2 linked regions of the Lepisosteus oculatus genome follow. The protein of the gene in region 2 purifies or fractionates together with the protein of the main gene of each other region. This does not show direct contact. Links are inferred from orthologs where the notes say so. Each region holds a gene or a part of one and is shown on either strand. Other genes may lie near its edges.

Region 1 (10,729 bases), on a different chromosome or scaffold from region 2:
CATATTCAGCACTTTGTGTCAGAAAGTATGACAGACAATGCCACATACTGTACGTTAATATAAGCTAAAATATTACTACAAATTCCTGTCAGGTTAGCTAATTTATATTGCACATACTCAATTCTAGATGCTAGTCTCCAGAATAGATCTTGAATTCTATCAATTTACTATTTTCACTCTTATTTTTGTGTAGGTCACATAGCACCTACAATAATAATACTCAACAAACGAGATCACTCTTTACTGATGGCAGAATTATACTATATTTAGACTGTTTCCTGACCCATGGCACAGGTGCTATCTTTATAACAACGATAATAATAATCATACACTTACATAGTGCTTTATTTTAATTTTTATTATGCTTTACTTTTTAGTAATTCAGTGCACTAACAGAAGAAGACCCAAATCGGTACAAGTCTACATTACTGCTTTTACGTTTTACAAAGGAGTAAGCAGGCTTGAATTCAATTGTGTCTCTGGTACAAACATAACACACCTGAGATTTACTCTTATTTACGTGCCTAAACAGTAGTGTGGATTTAAAAGTAATGCCCACACATCATGGATTTAAAAGCAATGCACTGTGAGGACCCACACACGACATGTTTTTGGTATCCAGCACAAGATGGCCTGCTTCAACAACAAACGTCCCACCCCTGGTTCTCTGGTTCAGTCTGCAGCACCTGTTCTTCAAACCCACTACAGCCATCATCGCATACTTACTTTCCTCTCTGTAGAAGGTTTTGTCTGAGGAGGTCTTCACTTTATCTTTGGCCATGACATCCTCCAGCTTCTTCTCATACAAACCTCTGGTGGAATCTGTAGAAAGACAAGACATTTACCCAGCAGAAGCACCAAGCAGAAGCACTCTGAGAAAACACTGAACAGGTCAGCAAGTCGTTACTTGAGGTCTGGGAATTCTGGAAAGTCCTCAAAGCAATGCTGGGGGCGGTCTCCAAAAAACAGGGTACCCTAAATTACTGCCTTTCACATTTTACTAATCATTTCTCAGAATCGGGTGATCGAAACCATAAGTGGAAAAAATATGTCCAAAAACATTTTAATTTAAATAACAGATATCTATCATACTAAAAATTTGCCGTTATTTCAAGGTACCAGACACAATGACACGGCTTTGAAACTTCTTACAGTGACTGTAAGTGTCTGGACCAACTCAGATTTCCACAACCTTTCAAAGGTTTTCTGGTAATACGGAAACAAAATAAATTCTTAAATAGTGCACATCTGAAAATGATATTTAGAGAGCTCTGTGTGAACTGCTTTACTGGGAAACTGCAATATACACTTATCAGCAATAATAGTATAATATGGTAACGGTAATAATAGCTACATACTACCAATATGTACCATTTTGAATTTGTTCTACAATTTTCAAGGTTTTTGGCTTAATTGTAGTGGTGCTGTATGGTCTTTTTTCAGTGGTTGTGCAGTTAAGAGGTAAATTATTCTAGTTACAGTACGTATGCGGCATACTCTGTCATTACAATCTGTCCTCTTCATTCAAAATACATCTTCCTGCAGATCTTTCATAAGATTGGAAATAAGTTGGATGTGAGTTCTGGAGATCATGATATCAACAGTTAAGTGCCGTGGTAAAACCAAAATTTAATTCGGGGCCACTGGGTGATAAAGGAGCTTTGCTGGAAGTGAGAATGGTTTTGTGTGGAGTCTATACAAAAACCTATGCCCCAAGGCAAAGATTTTGTCACACAACTTAGCTGAATTTAAATAACTTAATATATCTAAATGACAGAAATCGTCTGCTGGTTTGTGAGATCTAGGGAAACATACCCACTATGGGTCCATGTTTCAGTCCATACTGGTCCAGAAGATCAATGATTTCTTGATCGGACTTGCTGCTGAGTTTGGTCATGTCTGTCAGGAAGCAATGCTCTCAGATGCCTGGAAAAAAGAAAAAAGAGATATTATACACTGAAGGGGTAGGTGACCAGATTTGTGTTTCTAGGACACTGGGACGCTAGTCACCATTTTGCAACACTGACAACAGCAGAATATGCAGATGCTGAGATGTTTAAAACTTGGACAGTCATATTTTAAGCTCTGATTTTCTTTAGCTGGGTTTTTACCCATTGCTTACTTTGAAAAAGCCACGTATCAAAATCATACCCCAGACATCTTTGTGTAGCATTTATGGGCACACCCAGTAACAGCTGCTGTTCCTCCAAGTGTATGAGCTGAATGTCAGTCACACTGGGGTCTCCTGTATGGCAGAGCACAGTGGGCACACAAGACTGCCCAGGGATCAGATGCTCTTTACTCCCGCCCAACTCTGTTGCTTTTTATTTCCAAGTCTGTTCTCCTCATGCTTCCCTCTCTTGCCTTCAAATTTTCAGTCTGCTCCACTTGTGCTCTCCTCCAACACAAATATAGCATATAATCTGGCTGGCCTTCTTTAAATTTACATGACTTTAGGCCAGAACTCTAGAGCCCTAGTCTTGGAGAGCCTCACACCAGCTCCTGTAGTCTTATAGGTCATCTGTTTTTAAAGGAGAACTGCAGTCCCAATTCCTCATACTGGTTTTAAAATCTCAGTAACATGAACAAATAGAAGGTATTGCAAAATTTTACAAATTCCGAGTTAAGCACAAAATGGTGAACTTTGTGAAAGTACTGTAAAGTCACCATTTCGTAGCAAACTCCTGGTCTTGCCACGGCCAAGAGAGAGAGTTTGTACAAACTGTGACGTGGTGCAGACCTTCATGCTTCCTATATATAATGCAACGTAGGACCAATTAATTACAGGTTGTGCCGCAGTCATTTCAGCGCAGAACTGTTCCAACGTGATCTGCACGCAGTTAACAAGTAGTATTCTTGCGCCAAAATAATCTGGAAATCGAGAGCAATATTTCTATTGGATTAAAAGAGATGCATTCAATAGTCTGCATCTTTACAATGTAATATGGCCACTTCACCTCACCAGAAGTTTTGTTGTCTCTTTCTAAATCGCAGAACTTAGCGCTGCACATACCTGGAAATTTCTATTTTTTTTCAATGTAAATAGGAAGTTTTACACATTGCTGTGTACATTTTACTTTCATCATGGTTTGAAATGCACTCATCAATGCTGAGTCTTTCCTGGAAATATAAAAATAGCATTGCAGTCCTCCAGGGCTGAACACTACATAAAGTCTAGGCATAAATGAACTCTACATAGTTTCACAAATTGACCGTTGAACTGACCACAGTGGAATTGTTTCATATCTTTAGAAATTGCTTTAATAGTAAACTACAGTACAACAATTGCTGGATTGGGGCTCTCAAGGACCTGGTTTGGAGAACCCTGACTTAGGCTATTGTATGGTACTGACAAGGCTCTGGTTAAGATGATTGATGATTTGCTTACAGGATAAACAAAAGAAAGAAAAAAGGAAATAAATTATGACTTGTTTTATGGAGAAAGCAAATGAAAAGATCCATATCTCCGCCTTGTAACCTCACCGTATTTAGCCTGTTAAAATGTATAGGTAACACGGATCAGTGTGGTCATGTTAGAAAATAATCAATAATGACTATTATTCTTGCTTAATGGGCCTTGACATTCAAGCCTCTGGAAAAATAAGATACACACAGATTTAAAGATAACATCACTGCAAAAAAGGATTCAACATCAGTTTTAATGTGTCATGATATACAGGACAAACAATGTCTGAATCAGTCAGTTTAAAATAATACTGCAACTTATCGGTTTAAAACGCATTCACAGTTTAACTAAATATTGTATATCTTATTATTATCTTACTAAGTTCACTCTTAAATAAACCAGGTAAGGCTGTGGTTGTTGCTTGTAATTTGGTACATTCTTCCGAGAGACCAAAGAGTCTGCTTTCAGTGAAAGAGTGTAACCTGCGATTATCCGAAAACGGAGCTTTTACAAATCACGGGTTGTTTCTGGAATGAACTACAATCCCAAAACCGAAGCTTTATAAATTCATGTCCACACGATATCGCCTGCTCTTCTCATAATTTCCATGTAAGGTATATGTGTCGGAAGATTATTTCCACAATCTAATCCCTATAGGCTATATTGTTGAATAATATTTTCATCAACAATCTCTTTCCAGTTTCACTTCAACTAAATGGTTGAGCTATGGTAATGTGAACTTCAGTTTTATCTTTCTCTAAGGTCCGAGGTTTATATAAACAATGTATTGTAACAAACTAAAATTAAACAATGAGCATTCCCCCCGTGAATGGATATATCATCATTACTAGTATATAGTACAATAACTAAAATGAGCCATGTTTGTACGATTTAAGCAGCAGTAGATAATTTCATGTGTTCATGTGATTCAAACAACAGTTCTTTTAGTGTGTTCCAGACGAAAAAGGAGACAAACGAGTTAAATCTTTAACTTTAAAGGTGTCAAAACTAAAAGTTAGTTTTAGGACAAAATGATATACCAACCTTTCGTGGTGATCGTTAAGAAAAAATGAATGGGGATTACAGATTACGAAATAAAACCTATACATATACAGTACAAAACAACACACACTGTATGAATAGTTGTTGAAATGTTGTAAAATAATAACAGAACAAGCAAAACAAAGTGCATTCAATTCACGCATCGTATGCACAAGGACAAAAAACTTTAGAATGAGACCACTTCTTTTACACAAGCGACTGCCCATAAAATCAAAACGACTTCGTTTGAGGACATTCATGGCTAGAATACAGGGCATCACTTCGCAAAGACGCCATGTGCCTCAATAATACGCTAACTCCAAAACTTAACTTGTGATTTACCAAGTAGAAATATATTCAGAAATATACGTCAGCTCATAAGTGTTGCAAATCCAGCTAACTACGTTACAGCGACAGGGCGTTGTTCATATTTAAAAAAATAAAATGGGAGGTCCGCGAAGCAAACGGCAATTGATTTCTATTAAACTAATGCAGGGACACGTTTCTCGCAGCACACACCTCTCTCTGCTCCCCAGAGAAACAAGGCTAAAGGATCTTATTTGAAAAAAAGGCATCTTACCTTCAGGACAAAGAGCAATAAGCAAATAACTACTCTTTCTGTAACAGCGAATTCCCGAGTAATGTCACCTCTCCTTTTTGAAAAACGAAAGCTCTGTATCGGAAGCTGCTCTTTCTCCGTAGCTCCAATGGTGAACGTCTCTCGACTGCATGTGATTGCGGCCCACAGTTTGCTGCGTCAACGAGGAGCGTCTCACTGGCGCCCTCGCCTGTTACAATAGAGTGAAGTGCAATTCGTTGTTACCCTAATAAGGAAAAACGAAAATTTCCAGAGCTTTTTTTTTTCTCCTCCAGCTGTGAATTGGGTGAAGAAACTAGGGCGTTGGTTGTAAAACCGATGTACTGTATTCCCGCTTTTTTTGGTATTTCAAATCTGGTGCAATCCACTGCTGAGCTACTTCAATACGCCCTCTGTCTGGAACTCCAACTCACTGCATAGGTAAGAAAAAAATAATATACCCAGTGTGTTTATCATTAGATTTAGCTTGAACGAAAAAAATACACCTACTGTACGAACACTACCAAGGTATCGGCTTCCGCAACATAGCTGTTCAGCATGTTTCATACGCACACAACCGTTTGGGTAAAAGTGTGACTACTGTTCTTACTTTTAAAAGTACTGTACATCCCCATTGGAGTTTCACCTTGTTTTCTGGTTTGTGGTTTAGTGGCCCTTATGGATGTCAGTGATAAGCTCATAATGATATAAACATTGGTTAATTTACATGACTAAAAGTACAAATTCTGAGGATCCAAGGTGAAGGTCTCACAAAATACCTGAAACCCATTTTACTGTATGCCTTATTTGCTGTTCAAGCAAATAACATGATTGTGAAGTTTTACAACCCATAACACATTACTTGCATAAACTGAATTGTAAGAGCTTAATTCATATGCTTTAACAATTCAGTAGATTGATGGGAGATACTGTACCAAGCACCTATGTACAGGCTCACTACACCCACATAATCAACACTGACAGATCTCCTGAATTATTAGTATTCAAGTTATTTTCATACCCATCGGATTTGTACCAGTTGTGTATTTTTAGTCTTTACCCACATTAGGGTAACAGTAAAAACAGCTAATGCCTACAGACCACTACCAATCTGAGTTCAGTACCTCTGGGTGGTTGAATGTTCCTGTTGGGTGTCCCAAACATTCAGAAATACAACAAATGCAAAGAATGGGATCTCCAATACTTAAAGGGGGGAGTAATTAAAAGGAAAGAGAAATGTTCACACCCAGAGGGAAAAAAAACAGTTTTGGCATTCATTAAATATGGCCTTGTCATACTTCTTTCCATGTGAAGTTTCTGCATGGCTGGTTAAGGTCTCACATTCATTATCTTAACAGGGTGAGTATTGTAGCAGCAGGTAGTCCCAACAGCAAAAGCTGGTGTCAAAAGGAGCAGTCATGCACTGTGCCTCAACTACACTCACATTCCTAAACATATTCCCTAAAGAATTTATAAAATATTCCCAAAGATGTATAGGTAAGCACTGGCTGAGCACATATGTGAAGAAGGTTGAGGGCAATGTTCACCTGGAGATTACAGAACTGTGCTGTGCATATTCTAAGTATTTACATGTGCAAATATGAAGTAGATTAGATTGTGTGCAATTGTCTAAAATTTGGTGTACCATTTACATTAAAGCTACAGCTACCTTCACCTGTGTGTGAGACCAGAAGATGGTAGGTCCTTGAGGAATTGGGTTTGAGACCAGTGTTCAAATTCATATTAAGGTACCCATTATACCTGGTCCTAGAGAGCCCCAATCCATCAGATAGCATAGGTCACCTTTAAAATTTAAATTAGCCATATCTCAAGCTACAGAACAAACTCATTCTGATCAATTAAACAGGTGATTTTTAAAACTTCCAATTCCTTAATTAATATCCAAGTACTTTACACCACTCAAGCACCCAAGTTCACTTAATAGTACAGATTACTTGCAAGATTCATCCATAGCTCTCAAATGTCAAATTTATAAAAACTGGTGGCCTAGTAAACAACTTGGATTGGTTCTCCAGTACCAAGGTTGAAGACCTTATGCAGTGATTAAGACTTGGCATTATCAAATCCACAGCAGTGAAGGCACAACGTTTAGAAGAAAGATCCAGACTTCAAAGATCCTTTAATTAACACCGATTAAGGATGCATGAAGAGGAAAATTTAACCCTTTTTTTAATTAAAAATGAGTACATGTGCATGTGAAGACTAAGCTAATGTAACCGACTTACTGCTAGTTACAATACCTGCCCCTCTTTGAGCAATACATTATACAATCCTATGATGTGTAAGCTACAACCTGCAAATAAAGTAGAAAGCCTGTTTATGTAACCCATATTTAAAGCTTTAAATGGCAAACCGATTCCCAGGGAAAATAAGTGTTTAAGGTATTAACAAAAATTCCAGGATCATCTTTATCCCTGTGTGCAGAATAACTAAATGGTGTCATATTAGCAATCTGAACATAGAACCATCTACATTAAGGATCTACAGTATATTGCAATAGAGGGCAGCACTGAATTCATACCACCCCCATAAGTATCCATCAGAACTCTACAAACCAAAATTTGAAATGCAGCCAAAACTGGGCTCTTATAGCCCTAATTAAAAAAAACAGACTTGGACACAAGCTTGTATTAAAGCATAATTTTATTAAAGAACAACTGATCATTTGGAAGGCTAAAAACGGCTGATGTGCAAGTTAAGAAATGAGAAAGATAATCAGGATAACTCGAAAGCAAAAGCTTTGTCCCCCCTTTTGCACAGTTAAGACCATCATAGAAGCCGACAGACACTCAAGTGTATAAATAACCTTAAATCTGAAGTTTTCAATGGAAGAAATTGAAGATCATTCCTTGTAGGCAGTGGTAACTGTTGGTACACCATTGTCGCAACATTCTGAAAATTAGCTTCTGTGCTTTTTAAAGTTTGACATGGGTTTTAAAATGTAGAACATTAGAGCACTGTTAAAATTGAGATCCTTTGCAGGAGCTCAGAACTGTGGATGGAAGCAACCATGGAAAACAGTAAAGGAATTTGGGAAAGACTTTTCAGCTGGGCTTATTTCTCAAATACCAAAGTTACAGAATGACAAATCAATTTTGAATAAAAAAAATCTGATTGAACTGGCATTATAAACAAGATTCAATCTGAAAAGGCAGAGTATATTAAAATCCAGCTTCCTCATTGGATAGCCAGAAAAATCTGCACATTCAAATCTTTCAGAATACCATCTTGTTTAAGCTCCGCCACAAAATAAAAGAAACGAAAACCAATAAGCCATTTTCAAGTTTAATGGTAAACAGTAAAAATTTAAGACAACTTTGTGTATCAAAATACTGTAACAGTCTAACATTCTTAAAGGCTTATTTCCTCAAAAGTACATTTTCTTTCAAAAGACATTGAATATTCTGGACAAAAAGTACAAAAAGTGTAAGGGGAAAGTGACAGTGACCTTTTGTTGCATATCACAACCATGTTTGTTCACAAAAAGCATCAAACTGGAAAAGTGTCAAGTCTTCAACCACCATATAACCACCTAACTCCTAACATACTACTGTACATTACTCTCATTGACATCTTCTATTCTCTCAATTTTAATTTAGCAATATCTTTAAGAATTTAGACTATTCCCTTTAACATCTGCAGACGGTCTCTAAGGTAAAGAGTACTTTGACGACGATTCTGTTAACAGTTGTAATATTAGTTAAGTGTCCTAGAGGTTCAAAATCTGACTTGCCTTTTCCTCCAGTGGGAATCCAGTTCGATTCTGAACACTCAGGAAAAGGTCTATAAATGTAGGATGGACAGTCACTTCAGAACTAGAATAGTGCCTACAACAGGGTTAGCTATTCTATTAAGACAAATTAGCAGCTATACTACCATCCTGGGCATAAATCCAAAAACAGGTAACCATCAAAAAAAAAAATCCATAGCACTAAGCATAAAGAACAAACTTCTGGTTTTGTTTAGGCTTTGCTGCAACAAGAATAGAAGGTCATGATTTCGATTTAGAGTGAAGGTGCTTGCTTTTCAAAAATAATGGGAGGAGGAGAGGTTAAGGGCACAGTGTGCATTATCCTCTGTAAGCAGGGAGGGAAAGGGGGCAGGAGGAGACTTTAGGGCACAGAGATGTGGAAAGGGCTGCCAGGAATATGCTCATCACCCCATTTCACAACCAGAATGTAGTCGCCTTTCTCTTTCAACTGGTAGCTCACGTTGTACAGGCGGTTACCCAGGTGCTTGACCAGAATCTCCTCACAAGGCACCTTGGGACCGTCCACTCCCACCAGCAGCATGTTCCTGCCTGTTGAACCATAAAGATATTAATAGTGCAACATTTTACAAATCATGAGTATCGTTCTCAGACAAGTGTGGCTCATACTGTTTGCCCTGAAAATGAGTGTCTCTATTCTGTGGAAAAGTACTGTCCTGCAAGCAGCAGTTAGCTCACCACCCCAGACTTCTGTGTGGAAAAAACAGTTCTGTCCCATGTTGGCTAGGTATTCTATTTTAAAAAAAGATTTAAGGGGTCAGTATTGAAATCATGGAAGGTCTTTTCAGAATTGAAGACTTTTTACATTTCTTCAGATAAAGGGCAATTTGCGCAACATTACAGACCAATTTAACTTCTGAATTAAATAAGATAACACAAATCTCAAACTTTAAGGTTTTTGTGATTCTTGTGAGCTTGCAGAACAGACATCTCATTGCCAGCAACCACTGCTGCATGCTGTATTGTTGTGCATTTGATAAACTTTGATTTTATGGAAGTCAAATAATTTTAAAACAAAGCTAAACTTCAAAACCATTTTTGCCCCCAATTGGCATGCTATAGCATTTTGTAGAAGCACTTGATACATCTTAGCTATAAATCATTATCTTTAATTGTTACAGAAAGTTTTTGTACCACTTTCACAAGACATGAATTTTAAGAAATACACAGAGGCATACCTGCTTTGCTACAGTCCACACTGAAGCTGTTCTTCTGGCCCACAAAGCCTTTAGTAAGGCCTAGCCCCTTGGCAACAACATGGCTGGCATCCGAAGAGGCCCAGGCTGGCGCCCCCTGCTGCATGGTGGCTGAACTCCGAGAAATGGGATCAACGAGGACGGAAGACGTCTCATGGAGGCTGTGACTGCTCACTAACCGGGGGCCTACAGAAAAGAACTTGGCTGTAAAACTCAGGTTTGTCCAATAGCATTAAACATTTGTCTAAATGGGGTTTCTCACCAGGGTGCACAAGTTAAAAAAAAGTTAACATGCTTCAATTCTACCCCTAACAGTTTCGCCAGTTGACTTTTTCACTTTCACAATTAATTTGCGTCATGGATTTTGTAAATGCCTAGCTTCCAGTTTTCATTAAGAAACTGGCCAGTCACAGGAATAAGTGCTAAATCCAAAGTGATCACACCCCCACCTACTTCTGGTCCAGCTTTATGTAATGCCATCTTACCAGTGATCTTGGCTTTGTAGGGACTTCCTACAATGTGGTAGGGGCCACCATACTTGATGGAGATCAGGTAGTTCCCAGGGGCCATTGGTGTGTATATGACTTTGTAGCCTTCAGGACACTCCTGGCAGTCCATCTTGACCTTGGATGGCCCATCTATGGTGACAGCAAGGGCTCCAGGGCCAGCTGAACTTGTGTTCACAATGAATTCACATGGAGAGCCTGGAAAACCAGAAG
Region 2 (10,230 bases):
GTTTATGAATCTTAGCTTTCATTGTCTATGAAAAGTAGGACAAATGTGAACCCAGTTGGCATTTGCTTAGGTTCTAAGGCTCAGCTGGAACGTTTCTTTCACACAGTCTGTAGGTGTAATGGAAACCCCCAAAGCACTTTGTCTTTTGAACAATTGACATTTTTAACAGACTCAAATGTTTATTTCAAAGAAGAAGTGAAAAGAAGAACTTGCTGCAGAAATAAAACCATCCCAACTGTATGCAAGAAGAATCAAGCAATGTACAGCAAATATCATATGCACAGTGTATGCTTATACACTCTAACAGCAAGGCAATACACAAAAAAAAGTGACTTTTCAGTATTCATGCGCCGTGTAGAATAAAAATCATGCACGACCTCTATGTCTTTATTTTCAAATAGAAAGACAGCACGAACAGTCTGAAAGCATAAACCACACACACAAACATGTCCTTTAACAGTACAGTATGTGCCAAACCCCATAGCCAGACAGGCAGACAAAACTCTCAAGCACACTGGCTCGTGTCGAGCCTTATCAGCAAGGCACAAACGGTATGCATATGCATTTTAAATCTAACTGTCTCCTGTGTGGACATGATGTAAGATTGTAGATCTAAAACTATTAGCATATAGTAAACCAAGCTATTAGGGATACATTTTATAATTCTGGAAGTAAACAGTTGGTATATTATTGACAACACCAACCAAACAAAAAAAATAGAAGTGTCTCAAAGTAACTGACAGCCTACTGTTCACATGTATCTAATTCATGCTTTTGTGTTGTGATTAAGCGGGCTGTGTATAAACATCCTAAAGCATGGCAGTGATTTTTTCAAGAAAGGAATTAATGGAACCTGCTGTGATCAAGCCAGTGTTCACAGATCTGAGGGCAAAATCACAACATTTTCAGCCTAATTGGAACTACTTATATCCTTCAAGACATGGGGAAGTAGGTACAGTACATACGTACAATACTTAACATCAGTGACACCTTGAGCAGCACTGTCTTTCATTCAGATCAGCTCTTATACTAAATTACAAATTCTGCATCATCAGAATCCGGCTTTTGATGAGATCCAGAAAGATATTAGATGCAACTATTTAATAAACCTCCCTGACCACGCACTACACATATGTACAGTAGATACAAATGGGAAAACGGAGACCAGCCCCAGAGAACCTTGGAATGAGACACCTACTTATTACCAAACAGTTAAGACATAACTCCAGAGTTAAACAGCTAATTTCAAGAAGAGGGAAGTTATTTTAGGATTAAATTTCACTTCTGTAGAAGATATCATCAATTATTCAACATTTAAAAAAGCTAATTCAAAAGCAGATACAAGGTACCATAACAGAACCAGAACCAGGTTGTATAAAACACAATAAAAAAACATACATCTTAAGTCTTAAACATGGATTGTTTCTTGTTAACTAGGGAAGTAACATCAGTGTGTTCAGCTGCTTTGTACAACACCTCTAAATTCACAGAGCACTTGAGGAGAAAGTTAAGCAAGCATTTAACTTAAGGTGCTCAATGCAACTAGCCTTAATCATTTCAGGGCTGGGTTTGGGAGTAGGGAAGGGTTGGTAAGTTTGCTCAGTACCTCAAGTATATACATTGATGTTTCTGAAACTTACTAGGCTATGAAACAATTAGGTTATCTAGAGCCTTCCTTATCAATAGAGCCATTTTAACGCCACATTTTACCACACATGCATGACATGCATGGACTTGTCCTCAACACCTTGCGCTGCAGCTGCAGAGCAATTAATTCTAAAAGGATTGCATTTCCTAAAACGAAATTCAGTATAGGTAACGATAATCACATTTATGTTCCTATGCGCTTTACAACAGAAACATCTAAGAAAATATTTAGCTACATGTGTCTGAATAGGAGCTCATTTTATCCTTGTGTCATGCTATGCTTCTGAAATTTGTTTCCTGACTGTTGTCCACTGTTTCCACGACTTGAACCAAAGAAAAAATGAAGCCAGTGAAAGTAAGAGAGAACCTAAAATAACAAAGAGATTATTAGGCCTACTGCTCAGCATTTCACAGTTGAATTTTTACACACCTTTTCAAATAAAATCATTAGAGAAAATGCATTAACTCTCCATCACCTCCAGATACTAAAACATGGGCTCACACAAATTCAGCTGTGTGCGAATGTCTTAAAACCAAGCATTTAAACTCTCTGAGGCTGGTGCATTTTCAATGATAACAAACAAATTGCCAATTGCAAGCACCTTTTATTAACTGATAGCTTTTGAAGAGCTTTTACAGGCCATAAAACATTTAAAACCACCAAACAGTAGGCCACAACTTTTTGACAACATATGTAACATTTACATATTCTTAGGTGAGATTAACATACTCTGAGAATTCAAACACAGTACTCACATTTGGGCTATATAACACCCCTTCAGATCACGATCATCTTATATGGATTGACTGTGGTTTCTTTTCACCTACACCTGACCTCTGAGGCAGAACAGACACACACAAGAGTACAACTTATTGGCGAAATTGTCCACTGAGGCTAACAATATTGAGATGAGTAGCACAGAAAGAGACAAAGCATGGAGCCACCTGTGCATCTGTAGTTATGGGTAGTGTTGATAACACTGCACAGCCTTTCACAACTAAAGAAGACAAAGCCCAGCCATGAACTTGAAGCTAAAGAACGGAGGCATCCAGCCACTGAAATAGAGTTCACACGGCACGATTTGTTGCAGTAGCAGAGTATTTTGCAAAGGGAAGGCAAAGCTATTTGCACTTTTACATTCCACTTGAAACAAGTCAATACAACAATATCTGTACAACAATACACAACAGACCAAACCTAAAAAAGCATTTCAAACGATCATAACATCGAAGATAAAACCTCAATACATTTATAACAACCCCCTACGTTTGAGAAACCAGATCAAATCACCAGCCAGCACAAAACCCACAATGTGACCAAATAGTTTCTGAACAGCAATAAGCCACTTCAGACAAATTCAATTTTCTGTGGTATTGTAGTCTAAAATTACAGAGACAACTATTCCAGATAAAGTATGAAAATAATATTATCTTCTCTTGCACTCTGCTAAGAACGTCTGGAAAAGCAGGGAAATTACATTTCAAAATTGTATTATTCTATTTTTATTTTGTTTTTACACATTGCGATCAACGTTTACTGTGAACAACCTCCTAAATCACTGATGTTCTCCGATTAAATACCAAATGTATCATCAACGTTTTGTACTTGCCTAAAAACTCAAAACAACATACTTATTCTTTGAAGTGGTCAGTTACCCAGACATCACCTTATTATTAAACATAATCGTAAATGATGTGTTTATGAATCTCTCGCATGAATCAAGCGACACTGTCTCTTTAAATTCTCCACTAATTACTAGATTTCACTGTATCTTCAACTTCACAAGGTTAACAGCATCATGACTGTGAATCCAAGCACAAATATAATATTCATTTGCACTCTACTTTAACAGAAAAAAAATATAAAGATCGTGTGTGGCACTCTAATGTAGAAATACGATTTGTTCTTAAAACAAGAAGTTAATAAAAAAGCACATTTCGAAAAAGGGAATTTATTCTAGTTTGTGTTTTCCGTAAACTTCATTAAAGTTACATTTGAAGTGAGACAAATAGTAAACACGGTATAACTTTCATTTGAATTTCTTGAAGTGATTGCTGTTGGCGTTGCACATAATGATGTTTCTTAAAATATGTTAGCCTATATAATGCACAACAACGAGAATAACCTGATTAAAACGTTTTTCCACAAACTCTCCAATTGCAAAGCAATGTGAATTTTTCAGTTTCCCACTGATAGCACATTACAAGCCTGACGGTCACGTTCAGGGCTTCGATAATTCATTTTCCGAACTACCAGGCAACACAAAAGTAAAATACTTTAACACAACAATGGGATAAAAACAAGCGTTTCTTTCAGAACTCCCTTCATTAAATTGGGAACTGAAGATTTTTTTTTCATTCTATTGAACACATTAAGATTCTGGAATACAATGTCTCCGCCAGTGTTTCACGACGCCTCAGCTTTTGTGGGCTTTGTTCTGCCGTAGGGTATTATAAAGATGAAAACGAAACAACGTAACTAATTTCGTTACCCCCCCACCGAACCAACGGCCCATCTCTGACCGATCCAAACTCGCAGCGCGTAACAAAACACCGACGTTTTGCATTAATACTGAAACCTATTCGGCTAACATTTCGCAGGCTAACAGGGCGAACTGTTTAGATCGCAGCTTTCACAAAGGCAAAGCACCAAGTCAAACGAAACAAGACGTTGTAATGCAGCCACTGGTAAAACTTACCCAAGTTTGAAAACTTCGGCTCCGCCATAACTAGAAGAAAAAGTGGAGACTCGGTGACATCATCATCATAGCTGCACATTCACAGCAGAAAAGAGCTAGTGTAGCCAACTGTTTTGATCAGTCCTCCAGATTAAACTGATCGTGTGGGAGGTCACTGGAAGAAAAAAAAAAGTGCCACGGTGTTTTTTTTTCCCCCCTTTTTTTTTCTTCGTCTTTTAGTTGAATTTTACGATTATAATGCGTTTCGCTCGGTTTTCTTCGTAGCCTCGCCTTTGATCCATTACACTGCTTTCTTTATAGATTTAAATAAATGCAACCACATACACACCTTCTGGGTGTCACATGGGAACGTGAGCTAAAAAAAGCCAAAACAATTTAACTGCTATGGGACTTTCTGATCACCAGATAATCACAATGGGCACTGCCCAAGTGCCTTTCCCAGATACATTTCAGGAGGCTGTGTGCATCGATCTGTATTTTTGAGTAGAGACGCCGCTATTTGCACATTCCGTGACGCTTTTGAGAAGGTTAAGGTTTTTGTGTTAGTCCAGTGCGCCTGCTTGACGCCAGTAACTGAAATTGGATCCCTGGGTCTTGACTAGCAAGAATTACAGCCATGTACCTCACGTTACAAGGTTTGGCACTGTACGCTTTGAGCGTCCTATTAATCTTACATTAGAGCTCAGTTTGCGGTACTAACCGCTGGGGTAAAATACAGCTAGCTGAAAAGGTTTTGCAGTACTGAAAATACTCACACAGAGCTGCAGCACATTCCCCAGAATAACTACAGTTACACATTGAGGGAGTTCTCTCACTGCTAACCTTTTGTTTGAAGAAGCAAAAACATCGCCGGGTATATTATTTGACTTCATTTTCATGTCTAATTATGGATTCTGATGTGCTGATCATACATCAGAGTACCCTGGGTTTTTTTTAGAAAGTTCTTTCCAAAAGTATTCAAAATTTCAAATTCAAATACCTGCACAAGTATTCTTCTACAATTCTTAATGAGTTATTGTTGCTATTTTTTATTTGCAATGAAAGCAAGAAAACGAATTTTTGTGTATGCCATCAGTCTTCACTTCTTTCAGTACTGTCTGTTGTGCATGAAACTATCATCTCTTCCATAAAACCAGTTATTATGGGATTTTTTGCAAGCAGTATGATTATATAAGTAGAATGGAAAATATTTTGATTTGGTATGGCACTTACTCTATTAAAACTAAAAAGCAGGTTTACATTTTTCTGTTAACTGCCATGAAATCACAGTTAAAAGTTTTCATGTACAAATCGATGAAACACTAAGCTACAGCAGGCTCGAAGTTTTGGGCACCTCCCCTATGCTGTAAATTTCCTCTGTTGAAGTTGCTCATTAAATCAAAAGAGATAGGAAAAGTATCCAAACAAAACTTTGTTTTTTATTTCAGGTTTTCTTTCTTACCAGCTCACATCACGTGAACATTTATCATTGATTTGCCCAGAAATAAACAATGGTTGTCTTTTTTCTACTAGCTTCTTGGCTTTACATTCAGTGAAACTCTGTGATGAGGTGATATAATTACAGCTTTGTTTTTAAAGCAACTGTCAATCCACGGATGTTTGAACAATGAAAACAGAATTTTGAAATGGCATTTTTCAAGTATTCATTTTCCCAACAGCGCCAGTGACATTATTAACAATGAGGTTTTGGGATATTTTTCAACTAGCTAATGTTACTGCTGTATGTGAGCGGATTCACTAGGAAATATTGAATAAAGAGTGGAGATACATTTGTACCTCCAAGAGCATTTGTGAGAGAATGTTTTGGAAAAAATAAAATCTCATGAAATTCTGAAAGGCCAACCATTCCAGTTCCTGTTGACTGCAGATACTGTATGTTTGATACGAGACTCACTCTTGACAAGGTGGAGATCAAACAGAGGTTTGGAAAACAACACTTGTGTAGTTTACCTGCTTTTACCCAGCACTTATTTACATGATATGGGCATGTCATCTTAGCTTCTTTGTCATTCCAGAGAACTAAAATTCAACCAAAAGTGTCTCTGTAAAAGTCCGTCTGTAATTCTGATGTGATATGCTGGACAAATAGCATATACTGGAAATTTTTAATTGGAAAAGTTCTTGTCAGCTTTCTGTCTTGGCCAAACAATTATTCTCTTGGTAATCTCAGCCTACGTAACAAAGTGCACATTTCAGCTTTGCCCAGTACAGATTCTGATATGTGGTAATAACTGATCTTAAAAATAAAAGAATGCAGCTAGGTAAAATCCAGTAATCTTATTAACGTAAGATGCACAGGTTATCTTAGCTTGTGTATGAACTAAGTGGAACTGGTTAACTGCACAAAAACTTCATCTTCAAAATTCTATACCTCTTTATAAGGTGTGTAAGATTGAGTAATCATAACTGAATCTTCCCCGAAGTGCTGTATGAACTGTACATTGTCCAGAGCGAATCACTGAAAAATCACTGAAATTTGACCTAAATGTTAATGCTGGCATGCTGCTCATATGTTATGTCTTTACAACTAACAGTTGAGCTACTTTCGTACAAATCCCCAAATCTGTAAATGCTTAAAAAGATCAACCTCGGCACAGCACACAAATAATTTCCTTACAACTCAACTCTGATCCATTTCTAAGGCTATTTTCAATATTTTTACATTCCGTCTAATTAAAAAGGCTACAAGCAAACCCTTTCTCTTACAGACGGTAATTGCCAATCATATTTCCTGACATGCTTTATGAAAGGGGGATTAACCCTACCCCGTCTTGCTTTGCTAGAAGACAGAAACTGGGTCATATAATGTCATCAGCAAACCACAATAAAGCTAAAGAGATGAAAACTGAAGTTTCTGCTACAAACAGGCCTGCAACCACAACACAGTAAAGTGAATAGAAGAAACCTCACAACTTGAAGCCTAAATGCCTTTGCGTCACAATTCATTCTCCAGTACTCCAATAGCAAAACTGGACTCAAAAGTGGGATAAAAAGTATTCCTCTGCTTTGTAGTTTGTGGGGACACTGAGCTGTATTTATTTTTCATCAAAAGAAAATCAGTAAGTTTCTCCGGCTTTGTTTTCACGTTACTTCTGACTTTAATGGGTTTGATAGAAATCATTTTTTGCAGTTGGGAAAATTCATGAGAGAATTTCAGACTTAATCTCCCCATGGCTGCCTTCCCATTCGTTAAAGGGTAAAATGCAGTAGCACGTTATCAGATATGCAATAGGCTGTTACTGTATGTGCGACGCATGCCTTAGAGGTTTCAAGGATGTTTGCTGACAGAAAAGGTTTGCTTTGGTTAACCTTTATGTTTAAATTCACTGACCAAACCCTTAACAAATGTATATTAAAAATTCTGTGTTCCCTCTAATCATCTATATTTAGTTTCTGCTGACGAGGGCACGTGCAGACGTTAGGAGGCTGTTTCCTCTCTTATTTCAGAGCTATGAACCGCACCTTAGGCTAACCCTCTGAATTTCCTTCTCGTGTTTTTTAGCCATTGCAAAGCTTTGCAAGTTTCACTACATTTCAGATTTTTCTGATCTGAACCAAAAGCACCCATCAAAAGCAACATTAAGCCATTTTGATCCAGGTAATCCAAGTAGGCTGTAACTTATTTCAGAACTGTCTAGCACATATGATTCTCTGTGAACTTGTACAATGTGAATGGATTATTTCTTGGTCATTTATTAAATGACACAGCTCTAAGCACCACAATGAGATGAATAGAAAGCAATTGCATGGCATCGATTTTGAATGGAGGTCATACATTTTGAATTTACGTGCTTTGTAAATGTCGTCTATTTTTAAGGCATGTAGTGCAATTACATGAAACAAACCTTCTTTTTTTGTAAAAAGCAATACATTATGGAGGGTTTTTAGTAAAACGAATTAACTCAGCCCTGCTCCCATCAGTTTTGTGTGACCTGTCAGCTATTGATCAATGGAGTAAAGAATCTAACATTTGCCTTTGGTCTAATATGAGGAAATAAAACAAGACCAGAATAGCTGTATTGAAAACTCAATATTTTAAAAGAGTAGAGGAATAAACCCATAGAAAGTAAAGAGTGCCACTCTCTGGCTGAAATAATAAAGTGCAAGTTCAAAATCTAAAAAGACTTCCCTGCAGATGGTAACTACATTTAGTGCTGATGCCTGCTGATAGGCCTAGAAATGCATTCTAGGTTCATCTCACCTGTACACCAAGACATTTCATGCCTTATATAACTAAGAACTAAAGGACACTTAAGGGTTTATAAAGCTATGGGGGTTGGGTAAGTGTTTTGAATATGGTGACCTACAGTATGTTCCTTACATCACTGTTTGTGGTTTAAAAATTACCTTTAAATGAACAAAAATGTATATGAAATATGTTAAGGTAAAGCAATATTGTAAGAATTATGAGTAAAAAGGCAAACTATAAATATTGTCCAAGTTACAAATGTGAGCTGTGAAAAAGACTATTGTACAAGTGTTAAATTTTTTAATTCTTGTATTTACACATCTTGCCTTTTTTCTCTGGTGTGTAATCTTACCTGTACTTAGTACATAAGATATTGTTGATTAGTTGACTCATTAAGGTATGTGCAGTAAAACAAATTAAGATTACACGTAACAAAAGGTTTTAAATTAAAGCTAAAAAATGTGTCACTTACTTTATTCCTTTCCAAACTCTCTGTTATTTCACTGGAGATTATATCCAGAGGAATATGAATATAGAATATAAGTTAACATTTATTATATTATTCTTCAGTCTTCGGTCTTTATTCTTAATATTCTTAACAATTTAATCAAAGGTAGAATTTTGCCAACACGAGCTATGATTTAGCATCATAGTTAAATGTTATTAGGGAGTTTGGAAAAGACTATTTTTAAGCAGACTAAATAGCATAATCTAATCTAATTAATATATCATGATATTAGATTCAAATTCTACACTTTCATACTGTATCTCTGACTCCACATGGGATGTACTGCAGGTCTATATTTTGAATGATAATTCATATATAAAAGAGTGCCCACTCTTTCTCTCTCTTAATCTAATTATTCTTAGTCTCCAAATGGTTTTGTAGTCATTTGTTGTGCAGTATATTAAAACAGTATATCCATTGTGAAATACAGTATTTTATCATTAAAAACAGAAGTGACCTTTCTATTTTACCCAAAACACAATTTCTATATATTCATATTTATTATCAAATTACACATTCCTGGAAAAATGGTCAAAATTAAAACAAAATAATTATTGTTGCACAAAGTGTTCTTTTTCTTAAGAAGTTAGTGTGATCTTGTTATATAATCATACAGCAACATTCCTTTCTAAATATAATCAATATACCATCTTTTGCTATTTTTTTTGGGTTTGTTTTCAAATCAGTGTACATATGGTAATAATTCAGTTGACACAGGTGCTGTTTTCTGGACATTGAGACTACCATTAAAGCTTTTTCTTGACTTTAACAAAACTAGCTATTTTTAGAAAAGAGACAAAATGAATTGGAAATGCATGTCATCAAAAACCTTGCAGAAGTACAACATAAAAGTATCTTCTGCAGAGACATGCAACTTCATTGCAGTTTCATTCTAAGGTAATAAATCGTCATCTTAATTTCATAATTGTGGTCTGTTTGTACACCACTATTAAAATCCTCTGATGTTAAAGCATGCATCTTAATAACTAAAGCCGCTCCAGGACTGGAGGAAGAACTCACCTGGAGTTGCTGGGACAGGTGTCATTGTTGAACAAGAGCTTTTCCCATCGCAGGCTACCGAGTGCAGGAGAACCTAACATTGTTAACCTGCGGAAGGTGCACTGATTCCCACCCCCAAACTACTTGCACTGCTTCCATTACAAAGCAGAGTCTGAGGGGCAAGCAGC

The links.
Region 1: the proteins of raf1b (region 2) and emerin-like purify together in Homo sapiens (affinity purification with mass spectrometry; 3 studies listed by BioGRID and IntAct, with this or other methods). This does not show direct contact. The link is inferred for Lepisosteus oculatus from reciprocal best matches to the Homo sapiens genes RAF1 and EMD.

Annotation. Positions count from the first base shown.
Region 1 is NC_090697.1:66,885,238-66,895,966, forward strand, and holds the start of emerin-like, read right to left. Parts: upstream 5,184-10,729; 5' UTR 5,028-5,183; intron 1,927-5,027; 5' UTR 1,898-1,926; coding exon 1,816-1,897; intron 823-1,815; coding exon 727-822; intron 1-726. Other genes in the region: flna (filamin-A), read right to left, coding at 9,158-9,345, 9,993-10,196, 10,496-10,714. UniProt on the Homo sapiens protein: Stabilizes and promotes the formation of a nuclear actin cortical network. Stimulates actin polymerization in vitro by binding and stabilizing the pointed end of growing filaments. Inhibits beta-catenin activity by preventing its accumulation in the nucleus.
Region 2 is NC_090699.1:62,312,054-62,322,283, forward strand, and holds the start of raf1b (RAF proto-oncogene serine/threonine-protein kinase), read right to left. Parts: upstream 4,979-10,230; 5' UTR 4,675-4,978; exon of another isoform or gene 4,501-4,674; 5' UTR 4,347-4,500; intron 1-4,346. UniProt on the Homo sapiens protein: Serine/threonine-protein kinase that acts as a regulatory link between the membrane-associated Ras GTPases and the MAPK/ERK cascade, and this critical regulatory link functions as a switch determining cell fate decisions including proliferation, differentiation, apoptosis, survival and oncogenic transformation.